4 linked regions of the Saccharomyces cerevisiae S288C genome follow. The main gene of each other region encodes a partner of the protein of the gene in region 2 in a complex. Each region holds a gene or a part of one and is shown on either strand. Other genes may lie near its edges.

Region 1 (5,572 bases), on a different chromosome or scaffold from region 2:
GTGATGACATGCTCAAGCACACGCAATCAGACTCAGCCCTCTCATCTCAGTTGAATAGTTCTCAAGAAACAGTTGATGAATCACACGAAAACCTTCTACTGACTCCCCTAAATAGCAAAAAGAGAGATTATTCGGTTTCTTCAAAGAAAAACGACATATTAACACCACTCTCTGCAGCGAAGTCGATTATTATCCCCTCTGCCTCTAAGGAAAAAAGACGTGCATTTGCTTTCATCACACACTCGCAGGAGACCTTCCCTAAGAAGGAGCCTAAGATCGACAACGCTCCACTAGCACGCCGAAAGAGAAGAAGAACCTCGTCCCAGGAACTATCTATTCTTCAGGCTGAATTTGAAAAATGTCCTGCTCCATCGAAGGAGAAACGAATTGAGTTAGCTGAATCTTGCCATATGACTGAAAAAGCCGTTCAAATATGGTTCCAGAATAAAAGACAAGCGGTTAAAAGGCAGAGAATCGCCACTTCGAAGTCAACCACTATAATACAAACGGTATCTCCACCATCTCCGCCTCTGGACGTTCATGCTACGCCACTAGCATCCAGAGTCAAGGCGGACATACTTCGTGATGGAAGCTCATGTTCTCGTTCTTCCTCTTCTTCACCGCTGGAAAATACGCCGCCAAGGCCTCATCATTCCCTAAATAGGCGCTCATCCACACCAAGCATAAAGAGAAGCCAGGCTTTAACATTCCATCTAAACCCACAAAAGAAGACGTTGACTCCCGTGAAAACGTCTCCCAACAGCAGAGTAAATAAATTGATCAATAGCATAGATCATTCTCCATCCAAAGCCAAGCGTCCGGTAAGCAATCCCTCCGGCTCCCCTAAAAGGAAGAGAAAATTCGGATTCAAGATCGTCGATCAACAACCGTTGAAGGATCTTGATCCGAACGCTTTCCGTGGTTGATCTAATCTCTAGTCATTATTTATTCGCAAATTCATTTCCCTATACGGCATTCATACATATCATTGTTCACTTCAGTCCTAGCATATATCATAAAATATACAATTGTTTTCTAATTACCTTACGTTTTTTAAAAGACTTCTATAACACCTCTTTTAACTTTACATGTAGTCAAAATAAAGTGCAGTTCCATCGATGGTACTTTCTCACCCCGGTTGAGTGATGTTAACGATGTTTACCGTATAAAACTTAATTATATTATATCTTTTTTTGCTTATATGTTATACATAGAATAAAAAGTTGATTAAACACACATTGGTCTGAAAACACGTGTAGTACTTTCTCCTTTGAAGAATAAAAAAAGAAAATAAAGATAATAAAAACGAAAATAGCGTACAATTATTACTGATAATTTCCTTAATTGATTTAAGCTCTTCTTCTACCAGTGGTCTTGGTGTGTTGACCTCTAACACGTAAACCCCAGAAGTGTCTAATACCACGGTGGGCTCTGATCTTCTTTAATCTTTCCAAGTCATCTCTCAACTTGGATTCGACGTTGTTAGCCAAAGTGTGGTAGTCCTTACCATCAGTAATGTCGTTTTGACGGTTTAAGAACCAGGCTGGGATCTTGTAATGAGTTGGGTTTTGCATGATTTGGACAATTCTTTCCAATTCTTCTTGGGTCAATTCACCAGCTCTCTTGTGCAAATCAACATCAGCCTTCTTACAGACCAAGTTGGAGTAACGACGACCAACACCCTTAATAGTGGTCAAAGCGTAAACAATTTTAATGTTACCATCGACATTGGTGTTCAACAAACTGATTGTAATGGGCGCACAAAAAATTGTACATCTTATTGTTAGTAATTTATTTCACACCACTGCTAGGTTCTTCGAGAAATTTTCAACATGGCGCATCATTTTGGAATGGCGTACGAACATGGAGGGACGATAAATATGAATTTGTCAAGCTGTATTGACTGAAATTTTTAAATTCGCATTGAGTCATATATTGTATTTTCCAATAAACTGTGTATTACTTTAAAATCTAGTGATAATTTTTATAGTAGCGTAGAGTTAATTCGGCCTCGTATTTGGTAACCCGTGACGTTTATTATTCCATCGGAGTGCACTCACATATTTTCAATCGCAATATTAAGCTATTATCCCATGTAATGTGAAACTCTCTCAACATATCTGCACTGTACTCGTAAAACATACCGTAAAATGTGTTGGAAGGAACCTTGTTCTTGTACAACTAAAGACATCTTTACCACTTTCTGCTCTATTGGCTTTTCGTAAGATCGGTTTTTCACTAATAGTATATCTTTAACAATGTTAAAGTACCTGATATTGTTATTACTAAGGACCTTTTCCAGTTAGGATAGCAAAGGTGTCAGAATTACCATAGCCCAGGCATCAACCAGTTTCCGCGCAAGAATTCTCCTCCTCCCGGAACAAGAGGCCTGCGGAGACGAGTTCTTTGCCTCTGAAAGGCGAATCTCTGGAAGGATGAGCTTGGATGGCCCCAGTAAACGCATTTGCCTAGGTTGAGCCGAGCTAGGAGGACACCCCGACGGATAATTTAGCCCTTTTCCAATTTTTCAAAAAAACATGAAATTTCAAAAAAATGTATGGATGTAAAATTCAGTAGTGTGTACGGATTTTACAGTTTCTTGAATGAGACTTGCTTTTACGTCAAATCATTCTGAATTATACAATTCTTTCATTGTGAGATTGATATTTCATGGGCTTATTATTTACAGATTATTTTTTAAATATGTAGATGGAATAATAACTGGATGGGGTAGAAGAAGGGGTCACTTGTATGTGTACATATGAAAATCAGTTAGACACGGAGTGAAGGATTTCTTTCTGATGGGCCATTGCTAGATATTCAAGAGCTTCCAATTCGATAAAAACAGCTTGGGCTCTTAGTATGTCATTTACCTCAACAAGTTCTTTCTGTATAACATCTACTTTTTGTTTGTATGGATCAGAACTCTTTATCAGCCCTTCCCTAGTCTTGTCTGTAATGAAAAGTAATCTCTTACCTTTAAGTTGAAATTCCTCCAAGAATTTTCTGAAGATGACTTCGCCCTCAAAAATCTCTTTGCCCTCAACTGTGTTTGTATTCACAAGATCCAGCCTGTTCAAGTCGAGTTCTGGTGTGGGAGATATTAAGTCGACCTTTTCACCACCAATAACAAACAACTTTCCACTTTTATATTGGTGGCTCAAAGCGTTGTTGAAAGCCATGGAATAAACCTTGGATGGTAGCTCTGTAGTATAGTCGTTTGGTGCAGTTCTTGCCAATGCCCTACCACCATTATGTCTTGTTGGAGAGTTAGCATCCCCGACTCTTGCCCTACCAGAACCCTTTTGGGGCATCAATTTACGTCTGGAAAACCCGTTTTCACTTCTCCCGGGAGGATTTGAGGCGCCTACTCTTCTATTATCGTTTTCATAAACTACGGCTCTCCATAGTATATCACGCCTTAATGGAGCAGCTACAGTTGATGTGGGGACCGGCACAAATGTCAATGGTTCTAATGATGGAAAGGAGCGAACGGTAACTAAGGCGTATTTGGGAGGAATGGCTGCGTTTGGCAGAGGGTTTAACGTGGATTCTGCATGTGCGGTGGCAGTGGTAGCTTGGTAGCGTATAGATTGTAAAGTCTATTGCATAAAATGGTTGTAATGTTAGTATACGGATTCATCTTCAGAAAATCGACAACCAAATGGAAAAAGAGCGAGGGACGATCCTCTGATACGTACTTTCACCAAATTTCTTTTTATCGTCATTATTATTATTTCACCCTAGTTGAACGAAAGATTATTCGCATTGGCGTCCTTTGAATGTATCTCCCCCATTATTAATGGAACCTCTGTATTATACTTTTCTATTTCGAACTTTTTGAGACTCATTCTTGGTATCCCAGGGTGACCCAGTAACCTTTTTTCCGGTTTAACATCCGTGCATTACATCCGTACATTCTATTTTTTATTTTCCAAAAAACTGGGAGTTCTACTTAATTTTTTGGCCCCGTTTGGGAATCTGCTTTGCCACAGGAGGCGGCCTGTCCAGGAGGACAATAGACCAATGGCAGAGACGAGGTTTGTTGGGTACGTGCAACAGCGCCTGGGCTCAGCCGGCTTGCTGTGGGCAACGGAATGGTGCTTCCTAAGCCAATCTTTCATGCTGTAGCTATCGTCGTGATCGCTTTTACTGGCATATTAGCGTAATATGTATGAAATTAGGTATTAATCAAGCATTAATCGACTTAATTCTAAGAAAAGTCAAGATCTCGAGACTAGCAATAACAAAATGGTATGTTAATATGGACTAAAGGAGGCTTTTAAGGACACGTAATATTGAGTCGACATGCGCAATAAAGTCATACAATAAATAAGTTAAAGAAAACATATGACGATATTTTCAGACGATATGGAACTGCGATACCGAAAAAGTGGTGTGATTGAAATGATACTCATGTTTTGGCTATAGTTGCAGTGGCTTTCCAAAAAATTGGGAGTTAAAATGCCTATAGCAGTATCACCGGAGATTCAGTCTCTTGTGGATCTTCTTTTTGCATAGTTGAACAAGGGATAATATGGCGCCATGAACTGCCTCTACACATTATAATGTGTTTTTGATATCAGTATACTAACAAGTTGAATTGCATTTACAAACTTTTTATTTTGTATTGCTTTTCGTCATTTTAATAGGGTAGAGTTAGAACCAAGACCGTCAAGCGTGCTTCTAAGGCTTTGATTGAACGTTACTATCCAAAGTTGACTTTGGATTTCCAAACCAACAAGAGACTTTGTGATGAAATCGCCACTATCCAATCCAAGAGATTGAGAAACAAGATTGCTGGTTACACCACCCATTTGATGAAGAGAATCCAAAAGGGTCCAGTTAGAGGTATCTCTTTCAAATTGCAAGAAGAAGAAAGAGAAAGAAAGGACCAATACGTCCCAGAAGTCTCTGCTTTGGACTTGTCTCGTTCTAACGGTGTTTTGAACGTTGACAACCAAACTTCTGACTTGGTTAAATCTTTGGGTTTGAAGTTGCCATTATCTGTTATCAACGTTTCTGCCCAAAGAGACAGACGTTACAGAAAGAGAGTTTAAAATTAAATTAGAAAGCTATTTAAAATAATTTACTATTCAAAATATTTGCCTTTTCTTTTTTAATTTTTGTTTATTCTTTAATGTATAATTAAATAAAAAAATATTATTATATTTACTAATTAAGAGCGAAGCGTTTTATGTAGCTCCTTGGCCATACATACATTGCGCGCAATGTTTATGCTTTGATACCAAAGGGCTATCATCTTTGACTTGGAATTATTTATATTTTTTAACATTGACTCTGTTTCCTTTCTTACTCATTATACTTATCCAGAAAAAATAGAAAAATTAGTTACTTATTCTATAATTACACTTTTATCATGAACGCCAAACATTTGGGAGACTATGGGATACAATAAAGGCGGATCATTTCCTAAGTTAAGCGCCTTGGCCCACTGTCGCCTCCCTGAATCATTTTTCTCAATCGCATGTAACATTTCTAACTGTTCCTTAGCGTCTAATATCGCTTCGGTCCCGATCAAATGCAGAAGATATCGTAGTAGGACCAGTAG
Region 2 (4,907 bases):
ATGCTGAAGCACGCCTATTTATCAATGTTTATTATATTAAAAACTATAGATGGCTCGATGAGGTCTTACGTAAGTTTTTATAGTTCTCGCAAACATGATTGATTAATTGGAAGGCAATGGTAGTACTTCCAGGTAAATTGATATCATTTTTGAATGGAACACGATACCCGCCGGCGTACTTATCCAAAGCTTGAATGATTTCAGTTGTATCAAACCATTGAGCATCCAATAATTCGTCGTCATGATTCAGGTTGATAACCTCATTTTTGGAATTGAATTGAACTATGCCTAAACAGCCAATCATCAAACTGCAAGGGTAAGGCCAGGGCTGTGACCGGACTATATCAATATTTTTGCATGAAATGCCTGTTTCCTCCCATATTTCTCTGATACAAGCCTCCTCTATGGTTTCTGATGGCTCCATAAAACCTGCTATTGTTGAATACAATACAAAATCACCGTACCTTTTTTTTGATCTTGCCAGACAACACTTAGAGTAATCCGAATTGGTCAAGGCTATAATGACCGTTGGATCAGTTCTTGGGAAGCAAACGTTATTAATTCTTGCATCTCTCACATTACAGTATACATTCCGATTTTCATTAGAACACTGAAGCTTAGTTCCTGCCTCTACTGGGAATAACGGAGACCCACAACCGGGACAGAATTTGTACTTTGCTAGCCAATCCAGATACATCTTACCTTGTGAATAAAGTGAAGCATCCTCATTTGTTTGTTTGAAAATGTGATCTCTGGTCACCTTCGGATAGGAAAAAATAGGCTCAAAGTCGACTTTCTTGAAGAGTGTGCTCTCAGTAACACGGATATCTAATCCAAAATATGGTGTTCCTTTGTAAGAAATATTAGACCATTCAAAATTAAATGCAGAATCTGTGCCTTCCAGGAGACCTAAAAATGTTACATTGATGCCTGATTCATCGCTTCTTGAGCGAGTTGTGTTCAATAAAGTAGTGTATAAAGGAACTATTGCTGACAAAATATTCTTGTAAGACTTTACAGAATTAGAAAGCTGAACTAGGTCACCATTTTCGGGCGAAATGAGGGCTTCCCCTTCGATAAATGGGATAAAAACGGTAGAGTCATGGTTCAATGATTTTTTGATGAACTCTTTCGAACATCTTAAGAACGAAACTCTGTTCAAGACATGCTGGCCAAAAAAAGTCACAGCAGTGGACATTCTCTCAACTAACCGTAGCGTAATCAAAAAAAAATCAGGAGCAAAAAGGTACAATCTTTATCTTCTCTTTCGTTTCGCTCCTGCTCTTGTTCTTTATTCTTATGGTTGGTGGGCTTTATATTTCGAAGAAAAGCAACCGCTTTTGTAAGTTGGAAAAGTAGATTTATGAAGTGATAGATTAGCCCGTCTGAAATACTTATAACACGAAAACGAATGCCATAATGAAGTTGAAGATACTATAGAAAATAATAAGGAAATCAATCATTTTTATACATCTACTTGCAAGAAGCGATGTGGCAAAATATATAAAAGGCAGGACGAAAGAAGAATAAAGAGTTAAACATATTTACATGATATATTCCTTATTTTCTCGAAGAGAAAACAGACTATTTTGATTAACACGATTGGTAGATTGCTACAGTTTTAAAATCATTCTAAACTGACCTTAGCTCCTAAGTCTTCCAAGGTTTTCTTAATCTTTTCAGCATCATCCTTGGCGACATTTTCTTTCAAGACCTTTGGTGCAGCTTCAACGAATTTCTTAGCTTCAACTAATGAAAGCCCCAATAATCCCTTGACTTCCTTGATGACTTTAGCCTTAGTCTTCGTGTCGAACGAGTCCAACTTCACCGTAAACACGGTCTTTGCCTCAGGCTTAGCTTCTTCTTCAGCACCACTACCAGCTTCACCAGTGGAGCTAGGTACATTACCAGCACCTGCGCCTGCAGCGCCTGCCATGAATCCGCCCATAGGCATGGAAATTTCTGGAATGTTCAATACGGTTTTCAGCTCGTTGATTAAACTGGAAGTTTCCAAAAGAGTCAATTGTGAAATGTCCTGTACAATTTTAGAAATTTTAGGATCAACTGGCCTTACATCATCCTTATGTGATGGTGCTGTTGTAGTCGTAGAATTGAAACGGGTTGTGATAGTAATAGGAGAAATTAGCGCTGGTGTAACGCGCGTTTTCATCCAGATAGAAGAAGATCTCTTCGCTAGTATACGTAAGGACATACTGGGCGCTTATTTAATTGACTGTGTTTGCTGCTGACGGGCTGCTTGTCCTGTTCCTTCCAGAACTTACCGAGTTCTTGTTTGCCATTAGTTTGAGTTGTTTTATTGGACTTCAAGACATAGGGCGGGTAAGTTGAAAAATTTTGTTTTGGTGAATAGCGTTAAAGAGTAAGTCAAATGGAACAAGAGCAGATTCTAGGTAGAACGAAAGTTACAAAATCTAGCCAAAAGAGCAAGTTAAACTCCCCTTAAAACTGCTATGACTACGTTTAGATTTTGTCGTGACTGCAACAATATGTTGTACCCTCGTGAGGATAAAGAAAATAACCGGTTGTTATTTGAATGCAGAACATGCTCGTATGTAGAAGAAGCGGGCAGTCCATTGGTCTACAGGCATGAATTGATTACCAACATTGGTGAAACTGCGGGAGTGGTGCAAGATATTGGTTCCGATCCCACTCTTCCGAGATCTGATAGAGAATGTCCCAAATGTCACTCTCGGGAAAATGTGTTTTTTCAATCACAACAAAGAAGAAAGGATACTTCGATGGTTTTATTCTTTGTGTGCTTATCTTGCTCACACATATTTACTTCAGATCAAAAAAACAAAAGGACGCAGTTTTCATGAGTGCTCAACGAACTTTCAAAATTAATGACAGAGGGAGAGAAAATGGGACTTATCTTCACGTATGTCTTGTATGTATGAGAAAAGCACTACTATTTACACCAGCCTAATCTACCGGCAAAAGGATGATGTGAAATAACAGGGGGAAGGAACATGAAAAAATCCTGATCTTAGCACCGATATATGTAATATAATAAGAACGATTTTTTATCTGTAACAAAAGTAGAAAAAAGAATGTATACTATTGTTTTCTTTTTCTTCTTTAAAAAGTCAAAATTGTATAGATGCGTATATGTTCAGTATATAATTAATGAAGAAAGATGAAAATGTAATGAAAATGGACGAGAGATACGTCTAAGTTTGATTTCATCTATATGCTAATCTTCTGGCTTCACATACTTCAACTCGCCGTTCACCATTTTAATGTCTTTGAACTCTTCCAATAATGTGTTTCCCATTATTTCTAGCGATTCATGCGTTTGCATATCCTTTTGTACTGTTTGGTGCTGTTCGTGGTTATGGCCGTCGTGGGGCTGATTTTGGTGATATTGCAATTGCTGCGGTGGCTGCTGTTGCGGACCATATTGATGTGATCGTACTTGAGGTTCATTAGAGCTGAGATGACGATGGTCAACATGTTGAAAATCTATAGGATGTTGAGAACCGTGTGGGCCATTTTGTACAAATTTCAATTCGTCGAAGATTTTTGTTGAAGAGCTGCCAACTAAAGCTTCTTGTCTTAAAAGTGAGTTGCCCAGATCAGAAACGTTATGCTGAGTATTTAGCGAATGTGAATTGTTGTTTGGAACGCCGATGTTATTGTGGTTAGCAGCATCGGAGTGCGTCAAATATTGTAGAATATACTCATTATGTTCTTGGGAACTATTAGCAAATCTATCAATAATATCCTGGTTTTCCTGATGTGTTTCATTTGGGTCATGATGGACTGGGGGAGCACTACTAAGAATTTGGCTGAAATCTGCCTCTGAGTTCAAATATGGAGAATGAACAAAATCATCTGACTCTCCTTCAAATTCATTATTCGTGTTTGTAGTTAATGGAGAGAAGAGTATAGAGGAACAATCGTCCAATTGGTCGAAGACTTGTCTTGGATGGGTAGACCCGCTATGTGGATGCGGCGATTTGGTAAAAATGTTCGTAAAGTCAATTTCGTTCAAATTTGTTACAGTGTTTAGCTTGAAATCGGATGCCGGCAGTGGCAAGATTTCATTCAAATTGAAAGGATCATCAATATATCCTGAAAATGCTGTAGATGAGTGTTGCGAAGATGTTGGCGTACCGGTCTTACGCAGCCTTGATTTAGTTGTGAGAAAGTTCTGCATGGTGGTTCTTTTTAAGAGTGTGTCTTTATTCTTACACTGGCTTTTCGGTTTCCTTACGTTATTGGTATTGATACTACCGGTGTTATTTACAGAGGGTAAGCATGGCCTTTTAGATGCATTCGATGAATCAAGGGATATGGACGATACAGTTGAAGAGGATGCTGATGAAGTAACATTACTGTTAGTGGGCAATACGACATTGAAACTTTGTATTTCATTTGTTAAACCACAATCACAGGGGATTGTAGCTGTTGGAATGGGCAAATTGGCCAAAGTTCTGTATTCCAATTCGTCGAATTTCTTGATTGCATCTACGTCATTATCCTTTCTTAATTTTTCTTTGAATTTTTTGTACTCTTCGGAATCAGGGTTAAACTTTAGCTGATGTGAATGGTTATTGTCCATTACAACAATGCTCCATCTTTTCCTCTTTAACGAATAAGTAGCTCGTACTCTAAACGGACAGTTATTAAACCTCGATACACATCTTTTTTTCTTTGGCTTTATGGAGGATGTTTGATCGGGCGATGTTTGAGGCCCATTGGTTACTGTGGCATTAGAAGGACTCGCATATTCTAATTCGTCATCATTGATCTTGGATTTCTCGTCTTCGTGGTCCTGTCCTTTGGGCTTATCTTTTCTTTTCCTTCTCGCGTTCCTTCCCCTTTTAGCAGCTTTACACTTGAAGACAACTTTAAATGCGTCCGACCTTTCTATCACAAGTTCT
Region 3 (5,869 bases), on a different chromosome or scaffold from region 2:
GAAAATCGGTTTGTCCGTCTAGTTGATGGTCTGATTACACTCTATAACACATATTCTAGATCCATTATTCATAATTTGAAGATGAATAGTGAAATGTCCAAGTTAGAACGTACAGTTACTCCATGGAGAGATGATAGAAGTGTACTCTTTTGTAACATATGTTCCGAACCATTTGGGCTATTACTAAGGAAGCATCACTGCAGATTATGTGGTATGGTTGTTTGTGATGATGCAAACAGGAACTGCTCAAACGAAATAAGCATAGGTTATTTAATGTCTGCAGCGTCAGATCTGCCATTCGAATACAATATACAGAAGGATGATTTACTTCATATTCCTATATCCATAAGATTGTGCTCGCACTGTATCGATATGCTATTTATTGGCAGGAAATTTAACAAGGACGTTAGAATGCCGCTAAGTGGAATATTTGCTAAATATGATAGCATGCAAAATATATCCAAAGTAATTGATAGTCTCCTGCCCATTTTTGAAGACTCATTGAATAGCCTGAAGGTGGAGACTGCCAAGGATTCTGAAAATACACTTGATCCAAAGAATCTGAATGATCTCGCTCGATTAAGACATAAATTACTCAATTCTTTTAACTTGTATAATACACTAACAAGACAGCTCTTAAGTGTAGAACCTCAAAGTCATCTAGAGAGACAACTTCAAAATTCGATCAAGATAGCTTCCGCTGCATACATAAACGAAAAAATCCTACCGTTGAAGTCGCTTCCGGCAATTTTGAACCCAGAGGGCCATAAAACGAATGAAGATGGGCAAAAAGCTGAACCAGAGGTAAAGAAATTATCGCAACTAATGATCGAAAACTTGACCATAAAAGAAGTGAAAGAGCTGAGAGAAGAATTGATGGTCCTAAAGGAACAAAGCTACCTTATTGAGTCCACAATTCAGGACTATAAGAAGCAGCGTAGATTGGAGGAGATCGTCACACTTAATAAGAACTTAGAAGAATTGCACTCAAGAATACATACCGTTCAATCGAAGCTGGGTGACCATGGGTTTAATTAAGACATATCTTTATTATTCGATCATTCGCGGAATCTCCACGCTAATTGGTCCGCGGAGCCAATCAGATCTATTTAAGGGTATAAATTTTTCTTTAGTTTTTTTGACTTTTCACACAGAAATTTTAGATAAAAGGAAGTATTATATCGGAACATAACGTATATAGGAACTAGCTGAGTGAGTTAAAGGATGTCGACAGTTAATGTTTTGAGATACTCTGCGTTGGGTTTGGGGCTATTTTTTGGTTTTAGAAATGATATGATTTTGAAGTGTAATGCTAAGAAGAAAGAGGAGCAGGCACAGTACGAGGAGAAATTGAAGCTGGTAGAGGAGGCAAAGAAGGAATACGCCAAGCTACACCCTGTAGTAACTCCTAAAGATGTGCCTGCGAACGCCTCATTTAATTTGGAAGATCCTAATATAGATTTTGAAAGAGTTATTCTTAACGCCGTTGAATCCCTGAAGGAAGCTTCAACATAAATAGAAGCTTCAACATAAATAGGATACTAAAAATGCACATTAGCTCGCACTGAATGACGAAGTTATGATGGATTCTCGTTCGCTAGATGTTCCATATTTTTTTCTTCATTCGTTAGTGCACAAACAATAAGGAAAAAAATGAAATGTATATATTCTAGAACATACTAATATCATACGTATCGTATTGTAAACAAAATTCACATTCCAAAAATTTTTCAGATTCTTACTTTATATTATTTGCATCAAGCTTTATTAACAATGACACGTTATTTTATATGTACAGGATACTATAATGTCATACTATTTAGGATCACCTTCTAACTCTGCTAAAAACCCTTCCAGGTGGTAGGCCATATTTTTCTCTGACGGCGGCGACTTTGGCATCCCATTCGCTTCTCCAGATATGTGCCCCAATAGCGGTTAGATTGTATTTCTTCGTAAATTGCCTGATATCAAAATCATCTCTACTTAGTTCCTTTCGGTCAATCTCTAACATGTTAGGACCTTGCTTATCCTCGATTAAGGGTTGTCTGAATACCCAAACAACGAATCTCTGTTTTCCAGCATTCTTTTCAGGTACCGGAGGTAAGTAGTCAGCGATAATATTAGAACTGTGGAACTTTCTTGGATCTATTAAATTGTCATTATAAGTCAAATTAATATTCACCAATCCGTAACACAAAGCCGTTTTAAATGAGTCATTACTCAAATCTGGAACATCAGGATTGACTATCAGTACCGTATACAATTGTTTTTCAACGTTCACAAGTTCATATTCTTGAATTTTGAAAATGGGACGCATGGATGTGACATTGGACGATAGAAATTCACCAGGTTCGATCCACTTATTTACACCAGTAGAGAAGGGAAATTTGATATTCACTTCTGCCCGTGGAACCAGAGTTGGAAGAGTATCAGGAATGGCAGCCAACGTTTCTAACCTTTGCATCAATAACATCTGGCCGTACGATTCCCAATGTTGTTTCCCCAAATGTCTGTACACTGGCACATCATAATCTATTATATCCTTAACATTGTTCAACTTGTTATTAAACTGAAAATTGTATTGTACCTCAGGATTATTGATCTCTGCTTTTATGAGAAGTGCATCCTTCTTCAAGGGATTTTTAGTCTTATTGGCCAACTCATAAAACTTACTGGATCTTTGCTCAAGAAAATCATAACTCATCCTGAAAATCTCATCAATGTGTTCTGGAGGTGAATATTTGATACGGTTACTTCTTCTGCTGATAGATGGTGGGTCTAGAGAAGCTTTCTTCTGGAAAAGGTAATTTTTCACTTTTGAAGATTGGATAGAAAGTGAACTAGGCCTTGTGGTAAAGTCCGACCAAATATGCGAAGTAGCATTAGGTTTTTGGAGGATTTTAGTGGTATGAATAGATCTTCGTAACATAGTTCGGCAGTGACCTTGATTTCTGTAAAGATCTCTGAATAAGCTTTTTGCTGTAGTCTGATATTGTATTGGATACTGTTGTCTTATCCCAGACCTTCCGGCTTCCGGTTTAGCCCGGAAAATTTGAAAAGACTGCGACAGTAAATCCCAAACACATAAGAAAATAAAAAAAGGAATACATAAACAAAAATGGATATATAAAGGCTAATTTTTTTTTGTTTATCAAATATTCCTTATTTTTTAACTTTCTTAAAAATATTTAAACACCAGATTTCGAAAAAAGTAATATTTATTCTTTAAAAATGCGGTGACCAGCGGGCGATGATAATCAAATATTTAAAAATGATATAATGATAAAACTTGAATTATTTTTATAGGAAAAGTGGAACCAAAAGATTTTCTAATGCACTGATATCATGAGCAGTTAATGAAAAATTATTAATATTATTTTTTTTATATTTTTATTCAAAAATAACATTCAAAATTTAATTTTAATAAACTCATTTAAAAAAAACCTCTAAAAACATGAAGATAGAACTATAATAACGGCTTCAGTATTCAAGACAAAGCCATGTGCAGGTGAAACGATAGAAAAGTGACATAGCCGAGACAATCTAAATGAAGAATTCCTGTACTCATCTCAGACTAGCATTAACAGGGACTTGCATAATTATATCTCTATCTCTGTGTCTATGTATATATATATATATATCGACACAAATGCAAAAAATTACAAAATTTTCACCCACCATAGACGCCAGTGAAAACATGTTTAATTTCTTCCAACGTGTAGTTACCTGCCAAACATAATTGTAACAAGATTCTGCTCTTTTCAGGGCTTAGATAACCAGATGCGATGAGATTATCCTCCTTTGAACCTTTCTTTGGTACGTTGGCAATAGGCACCATACCATCCATCGATCTCTTGGAATATACGATCGGCAAACTCAATTTCATGCAGGTTTCATTGACCTCCTCCGGCAATGAACCAGCACCCATGGTAGCAAGAACAATACCATCATACTTATCTGCCACTAAGTTGACTATAGCTGGCGGAAAGGCTTGGTGAGCATATAAAATGCAAACCTCTGGTAATTTAAAATGCTTACCGTCCACTCTCAGTTTGAATTTGTGGCAACCTTGCGGTTTCACAGGAGGATAATAGTAGTGAATTTCATTGTTGACAAAATTTCCTAAATAGCCTTGTCTAACATTAAAAGAATCCAAACTATTTGCATTCGTCTTAGTAATGTAGTAACCAGAGGAAATTTGGTCATTCAAGGAAACAAGAACACCTCTTCCTCTAGATTTTGGATTTGAAGCAATGCAAATTGCTTGGTAAAGGTTCATAGGGCCATCAGCAGAAACGCTGGTTGAAGGACGCATCGAACCAACAAAAACAATAGGAACGTCGCCAGCATCAATAGTACTTTCAATAAAGAATGCAGTTTCAGATAGCGTATCAGTCCCATGGGTAATAACTATACCGTCAAAAGCCTGCAACGATTCTGAGACGCCCTTATAAATTTTATAAAGAATATCCTCGTTTATGTCTTTAGAATCCACGTTGCATAGTTGCTCATATTCAATGTCACAGACCTTGGATATATCTGGAATGGCATCCAATAGATCTTGGATGGTCAGGTCAACATGATAGCCGGCAGTTTGAGAGGAGTCTATAGCTTTCGATGCAATAGTACCACCGGTACCCAAGATTTTGATTCTTGGTAAGCTACGTTGTTGGCAAGCGATGCCGCTGCCATTCACAGCGGCATTTTGAGACTTTAGAATCTCTGGAATAGTCTCTGGACAGTTGCTTTGCACAACAAACTGAGAATTTTCAACATCTGGGCAGATGGTAGTGATTTCAACTGAATCGCTTTTCATGATACGCTTCCAAAAGTGCGATGAGAGTGCTGTTATCCTCCACTGTCTTCAAACACATTTCTTCAACAAAGTCATCGTCATCATCTTTTTTTTTTTTTTTTCATCGAGTATTTTTTCACACGAACGGCACAAGTAGCCTTCAACTGTAATAAACAAAAGCAGATAGGGAGGAAAAGAAGTGAGTTTAGGAAAGAAAGCATAACATGGAGAACCCTCATGAACAAGTGCAGGCTAACATACTTTCGCGAATAATTGGTAATGTCAAAAGGCTCAATGAGAGCGTGGCAATTCTTAACCAGGAGCTTGTGACCATTAATAATCGGAACAAAAATCTAGAAATCATGGGCGCAATTTGTGATAACTACCATAGTAGCGTCCAATTCAACCTGGAAGCGACCAATAACAAGAAGCCACCTCTTTAATTCACCAATTTTCTATATACGCATACTCATATACACATATATATATGCTATACCGTTTCTAATATATTCATTTAAGATCACTGTTTCCTGCGAAAAGGAGAAAAAAATAACAGCACATCGCTTAACCTATTCCTGTGCTTCTGGAAAGGACGCAGCCTGCAAGAAACAGTCAACATCAATGTCAGATCCATTTGCACATTTACTGACTTCTTTGAAGAATAAGGACTCTGCATCTGCATCCAAGGAAACAACTCCTCAGAGCAGCAATTCGCCTTCCATTACTGGTTCCGCTGTTGCAGATGTTGCAAGGACGGATAAAAGCCCCAATGATAGTCTGCATTCAATTTCAGCTCCTCCGCTGATACCGTCACCGAAGGTAGATTTTTCTGCACCTCCTTTGGTCCCAACTAATAGCACCACTAAATCTAATACTGCCAACAACACACCTCCCTCGGCTCTTGCCAATACCGATGACGACTTCAATCAACTATTTGGTATGGGCACAGTAACTACAACGGATACGATCCAAAAACCGGATGAGGATTACTATGGAAGCAAGGAAGACCACCTTTACAATGGTGATGACGCCTTAGTTGATGAAGTTAAGGATATGGAAATAGCAAGATTGATG
Region 4 (5,594 bases), on a different chromosome or scaffold from region 2:
ATTTAGATTTTGGCACAGCATACGAATTGGGCAAGCAAGTGTTTGAAATTTGTCAAGAAGCGGGCCAACATATGATGAAGGCGTTGGGCGATGAGCATTGGTTAACATTTTATCAAATGGGGAAGTTTGTCGATCCAAATTGGGTGGATAATGAAATTCCCACAGAGATAATTGTTCTGCAGATGAGCATCTTGGGCCGCTTACTGGAGGTTTGCCCCCTTGAGGAAGTCGAAATTGTTACATCGCAATGGAGCACACTAGAATTGGAGCTAAGCGCCCGTGACCTGGTGAAAGACAAGTACGCACTGGACGGACAGAACGACAATAAGAGTAAGGTAGGCGGCATTGCTAGGGAGATTTTCCACAACGTGACTAATTTCTGAATACATACAGCGTATAGCTATATAAAGGTGTATGTATGTGTGTATGTATGTGCGAGTGTGTGTGGATATATATATATATATATATTTACAGGAGAGAGGGTAGGAAGCCCACGGGAATCATGCAGTTGCTTGCTCCACGGAGCTTGCATGAATTAGCTGTTTCAAGTATTTTCTCACGGTGGGGAGTTCGTCTAATTTAGGGACTTTATTATCTGGGGACTTTCTCAGGTCTTTGATGGCGACACAAGCCTCTTGAACGGCATGAGGTTCGAAGTCGGAAGTGAATAAGATGAACGACTCGCCCACGTCTGTGATCGGTTCTTGTGATATTTCGGATATGAGGTCATTGGAGTCCTTGAACCGCTGTAGTTTTAAGTTTGCCAAGAACTTGATCCCGTCGATGAAGTTAATGTCGACTGTATTATCCTGGATGGTTTCCGATATGCCGAAAATGGCCAACTGGAATCGTGTGAGCATGGAGGCGACTTCGTCATCAGGGATATCCTTGTTCAAGAAGTAATCGTTGGCCAAAGTATCCAAGAACTTTTTCCTCTCCGATTCATCCTGTAAAAATTCGCGTGAAGCGCTATAGGCCAGCTCTCTTTCGTTAAGTACATGTCTTATTTGCCACATGGTGGTTCTGATAGAGTTAGAGAGCTCACTGAATTCGTCATGCGTGGAGCCAACAATGTTTTTCAAGAGATGGTTTTCGCGAGCAAGCACATTTTGCTCCCTGAGGCAGTTGTACCAAAGGGAATGCAAGTCGTTAAAGGACTTGTGCCTCAACTCTGGGATGCTCCAGGGTCTGATATGGCTGGAAGGCGGCAAGTCGTCGGCGGACCTGATGAATTTCTTGTTGGAGAAGAACTGCCACAGCGGGTGGTCGTCGGGACAGCGCAGGTTTGAGGTTGTTGGTGGGATTGGTTCGGTAATCCTCAGGTTGTTGGAGTGATGAGTCAATTGAGTGGGCGGTCTTATTTTGTCTTTGGGAAGCACCGGTTGTTTTGGCTTTGGTTTGGTAAACTTTGTTCTGGCACGCAGGGGCCCTCCTTGGGAGTGGAACGATCTCTTCCACATTTTTATTATATTTTTATGGTATTTTTTTCTAGCCGCAGAGATAGAATGGTACTCTCTTACCAGGGCTCGATAGCTTTCAGGGCAATTCTTTTAGTTTGCTGAAATGATATTTTTTCTTCTTCCTGATGCGCCCTTTTGGCTATCCGTGCTGTGTGATAGGTCGCGATATTGAAAGAAGAAAAAAAGCAAGAAAGCTGAGGTTTGAACAAACAAGAGGCAGGATGTTTCCATCCATTCTAGCAACCAATACAACAGGGGAGAGACACGCAGATAAATACACACACACACACAACATCACGCACACTCAAGAAAATGGAGACACCTTTGGATTTATTGAAACTCAATCTCGATGAGAGGGTGTACATCAAGCTGCGCGGGGCCAGGACGCTGGTGGGCACACTGCAAGCGTTCGACTCACACTGCAACATCGTGCTGAGTGATGCAGTAGAGACCATATACCAATTAAACAACGAGGAGTTGAGTGAGTCCGAAAGACGATGTGAAATGGTGTTCATCAGAGGAGACACAGTGACTCTAATCAGCACGCCCTCTGAAGATGACGATGGCGCAGTGGAGATATAAGCAAAGAGGAGGAGAAAACAAAGGGAAACAGTACGTATTTTTTTATTTTACTTTTAGTATATTAAAAATGTGTAAGATATAAAACAAAAAAAAGAAAAGAAACGAGAAAACATAAAAAAAATGCGTATTAATATTATAACAGATCGATACACTTGGCAATGGTTTCGACACCGGTTTGCAAGTCCTCTTCGGAGATGACCAAAGGAGGAGCCAATCTGATGATGTGGTCGTGGGTGGGCTTAGCCAAGAGGCCGTGATCCTTCATCAATAGACACAAGTCCCAAGCGGTCTTACCATTGGCCTTGGATGGGTCGATTACGATGGCGGTAAGCAGTCCCATACCACGCACCTCAGAGATTATACCGTTAGATTTGGCTTGGAGAGCTTTCAATTGGGCGATGAAAGAGCTACCCAGTTGGGCGGCTCTTTGGCACAGCTTCTCGTCGCGGATGACCTCGAGGGCGGCGATGGCAACGCGGGAAGCCAAAGGATTACCGCCGAAAGTAGAACCGTGAGATCCTGGGGTAAAGCAAGACATGATGTCGTGAGAAGACAGAACACATGAGACGGGAAGAACACCACCTGAGAGAGCCTTACCTAACAAAACAATATCAGGCTTGGCCTCTGCCTTGTAGTGGTCGTAGCAAAGCAACTCACCGGTTCTACCGATACCGGTTTGAATTTCGTCAACGATCAATAGGACGTTGTGCTTACGGCATAATGCGGAGACCTTTGGGAAGTAGTCTGCGGGGGGCACGACGATACCGGCTTCACCCTGAATTGGCTCTAGAATGATGGCGGCAACGTTCTTACCTTCAGGAGATTCCAAGATAGGGACGAAATCTTCTGCGTGGCCGTATCTGATCTTGTGCACGGAGTGACCACTGGCAACGTTAGGCACGAAAGGCCCGAAATGCAACTTGGAGTCCTCGTAGTCGGTACTCAAACTGATAGCACCGAAGGTTCTCCCGTGGAAGTTACCCTCGGCACCCAGAATGATGGCTTTATCTTGAGGGATGTTCTTCTTCATGTACCCCCATCTTCTGGCCAACTTCAAAGCAGTTTCCACGGCTTCTGCACCGGTGTTCATGGGCAAAACGGTTTCGAACCCGAAGAATTCGGTCACGAACTTGGCGAATTGCGCGTAAACATCGTTGTGGAACGCTCTGGAGGACAATGTTAGTGTTTGTGCTTGCTCCGTCAAAGCCTTGATGATGTGAGGATGGCAATGGCCCTGGTTGACGGCAGAATAAGCGCTCAGGAAGTCGAGGTACAGCTTACCCTCCGGGTCCCACACATGTGCGCCCTTAGCCTTGTGAAAAACGACGGGCAAGGGGTGGTAGTTGTGGGCGGAGTATTTGTTTTCCCATTCAATGGTTTGCTTGGAGGAGAGGGTAGCTTCGGACATTGGTGTTGTGGTTCTGTGCTGCTGTGGTGTCTTGTGGTGTAGTATCCTTTGCTGTAATACGAACAACCGCCATATAACAACAAGACTCAACGTATGGTGGCCGCAATTTATATATGCAATCGAGTCAGCCAGTCAGCCGCTAAGGGCAAGGGCACGCGACTACGGCGTCGGCTAGCGCCGCTAACGGCAGGGGACGCCAGGTCCTGCCGTTAACAGAGGGCAGAATTTGTCCGTGCGCACATTTGCGTGTGGTGCATGGGTTCTATTCCTCATTAGCGCGGCTCGTACCACGCGCTTTTTTCTTCTCGTTTGTTTGTGTGTGTGCTTTTTCTTTTTCCCGCCAGTGGGGTATTTATTTATCTAGTAGCAACAGGCAAGGATTGGAGAAGAAAACAAAGAAAAAGAAACAGCAAGAGAACCCAGATCAAGAAACGCACGCTTTACATCACACACTAATACAGGAACAAACAAGACTTAATGGACGCACAACTGGAATGGGCAAGCAGCCTCGTCCCAAAGAGACAGCTTCAACAACAACAACAACAACAGGAGCAGCAGCAGCAGCAGCAACAGGATTTCCACAAGGACCAGTTGATGACTGTGGGTATGCGAATCAGACAGCGGGTCGACCAGGGTTATGCATCGAGGACGCCGAGCACCTCGGACGCTTCACTACAGCCGGGTGTCATTAGAGATTACTCGAGCGTTATTGTTCCGCAATTTACAAGGTCGCCCTTGCCCACTGCTAACTCGCTACCACCTATGCTGATAAACCAGAGAACAATGTCGACCGAGGCGTCCTCGCTCGAGAAATGGGACGTCGCGGAACCTGCCGCGGAGCACGAAACAATGGTTAATGGATCCAAGAGAAGACTTTAACAGACTTGCACAATTTTTTTTATCTCTCTCTTTTTTTCTCTCTTTTTCCTACTTTACTTTCTCTTTTATAGATTCTTTATATAGTCTTTTCTCTTGTTCGCACATTTTTTATAGAGGATATAACAAATAATAAAAACTATCGCAGTTGCTTTGGCTTCAGGGGGTTTTTCCTTGCTTTTCCGCCGGTTTACGTGCTTAATTTCGGTGTTTTTTCTTTCGGGTAAACCTATGGAGAAAAAAAAAAAAAAAGACCTCTATTTATTGAGTACACAACATACACGTACAGGTAGATAAGCAAACAAATCAGAGAAAAAGCTAATAGAGAAAGAAATACACACAAATCAAACCATAAAAATTCTCCCTTAGGCTATGCATAATGGGAAATACTGACTCCAAATCCAGTTCGATCCTGCTGAACCACTGCATCGCTCTGGTTCGACCGGAGGACGCAGATGCGTCCTCCCCTTCACGTACGTCGTCGCCCTCGCCCTCCCTTTCAGTTGATGCTGATCCGTTGAGTTTAAACCTGTCAATTTTTAAGCTGGATTCTGGGCCTGACGTTGAAGCGTTGTTCAGCGACAAACCAAATGTCCCGCTAGATACCGTCTTCAACGATTTTTACTTGGACTTCATATCAGTGGACGTGCAGGACTTCAGCATTAACTCTAGTTTTAAAAAAATCCTGCACATTATCTCTAGTTTGAACCCACCCAACTTCAACAACTTGATTGTCTTCCTTTCGCTCTACATTATTCTTTCCGCGAACTCCTTGCCCGCTTCCCGTACGGGACTTCATTCTTCGCGGCTTATCAACGCCATAAAGACCCTTTCCATCCTCATACCTATTTATTTTGACCGGGTCAAGTCTAGCACGCAGGACCATTACGATGTCTTTTGGGCCACGCAACATGAAATTGAGGGTCTTCCCTTGCAAAACATCCCACTGGGAGAAAGACTACTGTTGGCGATCTTGAAACTGGCTTTCCAAGATAATTTCACAACTGCCGTGACCGCCCACCCAAGCGAATTGTGGGAAATCGGCATCTTGACTAATTCCAACAAGTACCGCTCACTACTGAATATGCATCATCAGTGGCATCTTTTTGCCAATAGACTGCTTCTTTTACGTCTTTTGGCAGCTTTATTTTCTTCGGACTTGTACACGAGCGGCGGTAAACAGGACATAAACATGTTTCTTGTCTACTGGTGTACTCAAATGCCTAAGGACAAAAGCATTCAATTCACTTCCTCGCTATTAAATTGCA

Evidence for each region.
Region 1: MNP1 (region 2) and YML6 share a complex: the UniProt entries of both Saccharomyces cerevisiae proteins name them as parts of the mitochondrial large ribosomal subunit.
Region 3: MNP1 (region 2) and MRPL35 share a complex: the UniProt entries of both Saccharomyces cerevisiae proteins name them as parts of the mitochondrial large ribosomal subunit.
Region 4: MNP1 (region 2) and MRPL4 share a complex: the UniProt entries of both Saccharomyces cerevisiae proteins name them as parts of the mitochondrial large ribosomal subunit.

The regions. Positions count from the first base shown.
Region 1 is NC_001145.3:221,638-227,209, forward strand, and holds YML6 (mitochondrial 54S ribosomal protein uL4m YML6), read right to left. Parts: upstream 3,729-5,572; coding exon 3,702-3,728; intron 3,603-3,701; coding exon 2,769-3,602; downstream 1-2,768. Other genes in the region: YOX1 (Yox1p), read left to right, coding at 1-926; 40S ribosomal protein uS13 RPS18B, read right to left, coding at 1,350-1,743, 2,145-2,191; 40S ribosomal protein eS17 RPS17A, read left to right, coding at 4,252-4,254, 4,653-5,060; Smc5-Smc6 complex subunit NSE5, read right to left, coding at 5,357-5,572. UniProt on the Saccharomyces cerevisiae protein: Component of the mitochondrial ribosome (mitoribosome), a dedicated translation machinery responsible for the synthesis of mitochondrial genome-encoded proteins, including at least some of the essential transmembrane subunits of the mitochondrial respiratory chain.
Region 2 is NC_001139.9:372,392-377,298, reverse strand, and holds MNP1 (mitochondrial 54S ribosomal protein bL12m MNP1), read right to left. Parts: upstream 2,213-4,907; coding exon 1,628-2,212; downstream 1-1,627. Other genes in the region: NPY1 (NAD(+) diphosphatase), read right to left, coding at 44-1,198; DNA-directed RNA polymerase II core subunit RPB9, read left to right, coding at 2,472-2,840; DNA-binding transcription factor AFT1, read right to left, coding at 3,215-4,907. UniProt on the Saccharomyces cerevisiae protein: Component of the mitochondrial ribosome (mitoribosome), a dedicated translation machinery responsible for the synthesis of mitochondrial genome-encoded proteins, including at least some of the essential transmembrane subunits of the mitochondrial respiratory chain.
Region 3 is NC_001136.10:1,107,649-1,113,517, reverse strand, and holds MRPL35 (mitochondrial 54S ribosomal protein mL38 MRPL35), read right to left. Parts: upstream 2,930-5,869; coding exon 1,826-2,929; downstream 1-1,825. Other genes in the region: PEP7 (phosphatidylinositol-3-phosphate binding protein), read left to right, coding at 1-1,038; TIM11 (F1F0 ATP synthase subunit e), read left to right, coding at 1,225-1,515; asparaginase ASP1, read right to left, coding at 3,671-4,816; DAD4 (Dad4p), read left to right, coding at 5,020-5,238; auxilin-like protein SWA2, read left to right, coding at 5,417-5,869. UniProt on the Saccharomyces cerevisiae protein: Component of the mitochondrial ribosome (mitoribosome), a dedicated translation machinery responsible for the synthesis of mitochondrial genome-encoded proteins, including at least some of the essential transmembrane subunits of the mitochondrial respiratory chain.
Region 4 is NC_001144.5:1,010,357-1,015,950, reverse strand, and holds MRPL4 (mitochondrial 54S ribosomal protein uL29m MRPL4), read right to left. Parts: upstream 1,461-5,594; coding exon 501-1,460; downstream 1-500. Other genes in the region: SEC39 (Sec39p), read left to right, coding at 1-383; U4/U6-U5 snRNP complex subunit LSM3, read left to right, coding at 1,773-2,042; CAR2 (ornithine-oxo-acid transaminase), read right to left, coding at 2,176-3,450; DIF1 (Dif1p), read left to right, coding at 3,928-4,329; ECM30 (Ecm30p), read left to right, coding at 4,706-5,594. UniProt on the Saccharomyces cerevisiae protein: Component of the mitochondrial ribosome (mitoribosome), a dedicated translation machinery responsible for the synthesis of mitochondrial genome-encoded proteins, including at least some of the essential transmembrane subunits of the mitochondrial respiratory chain.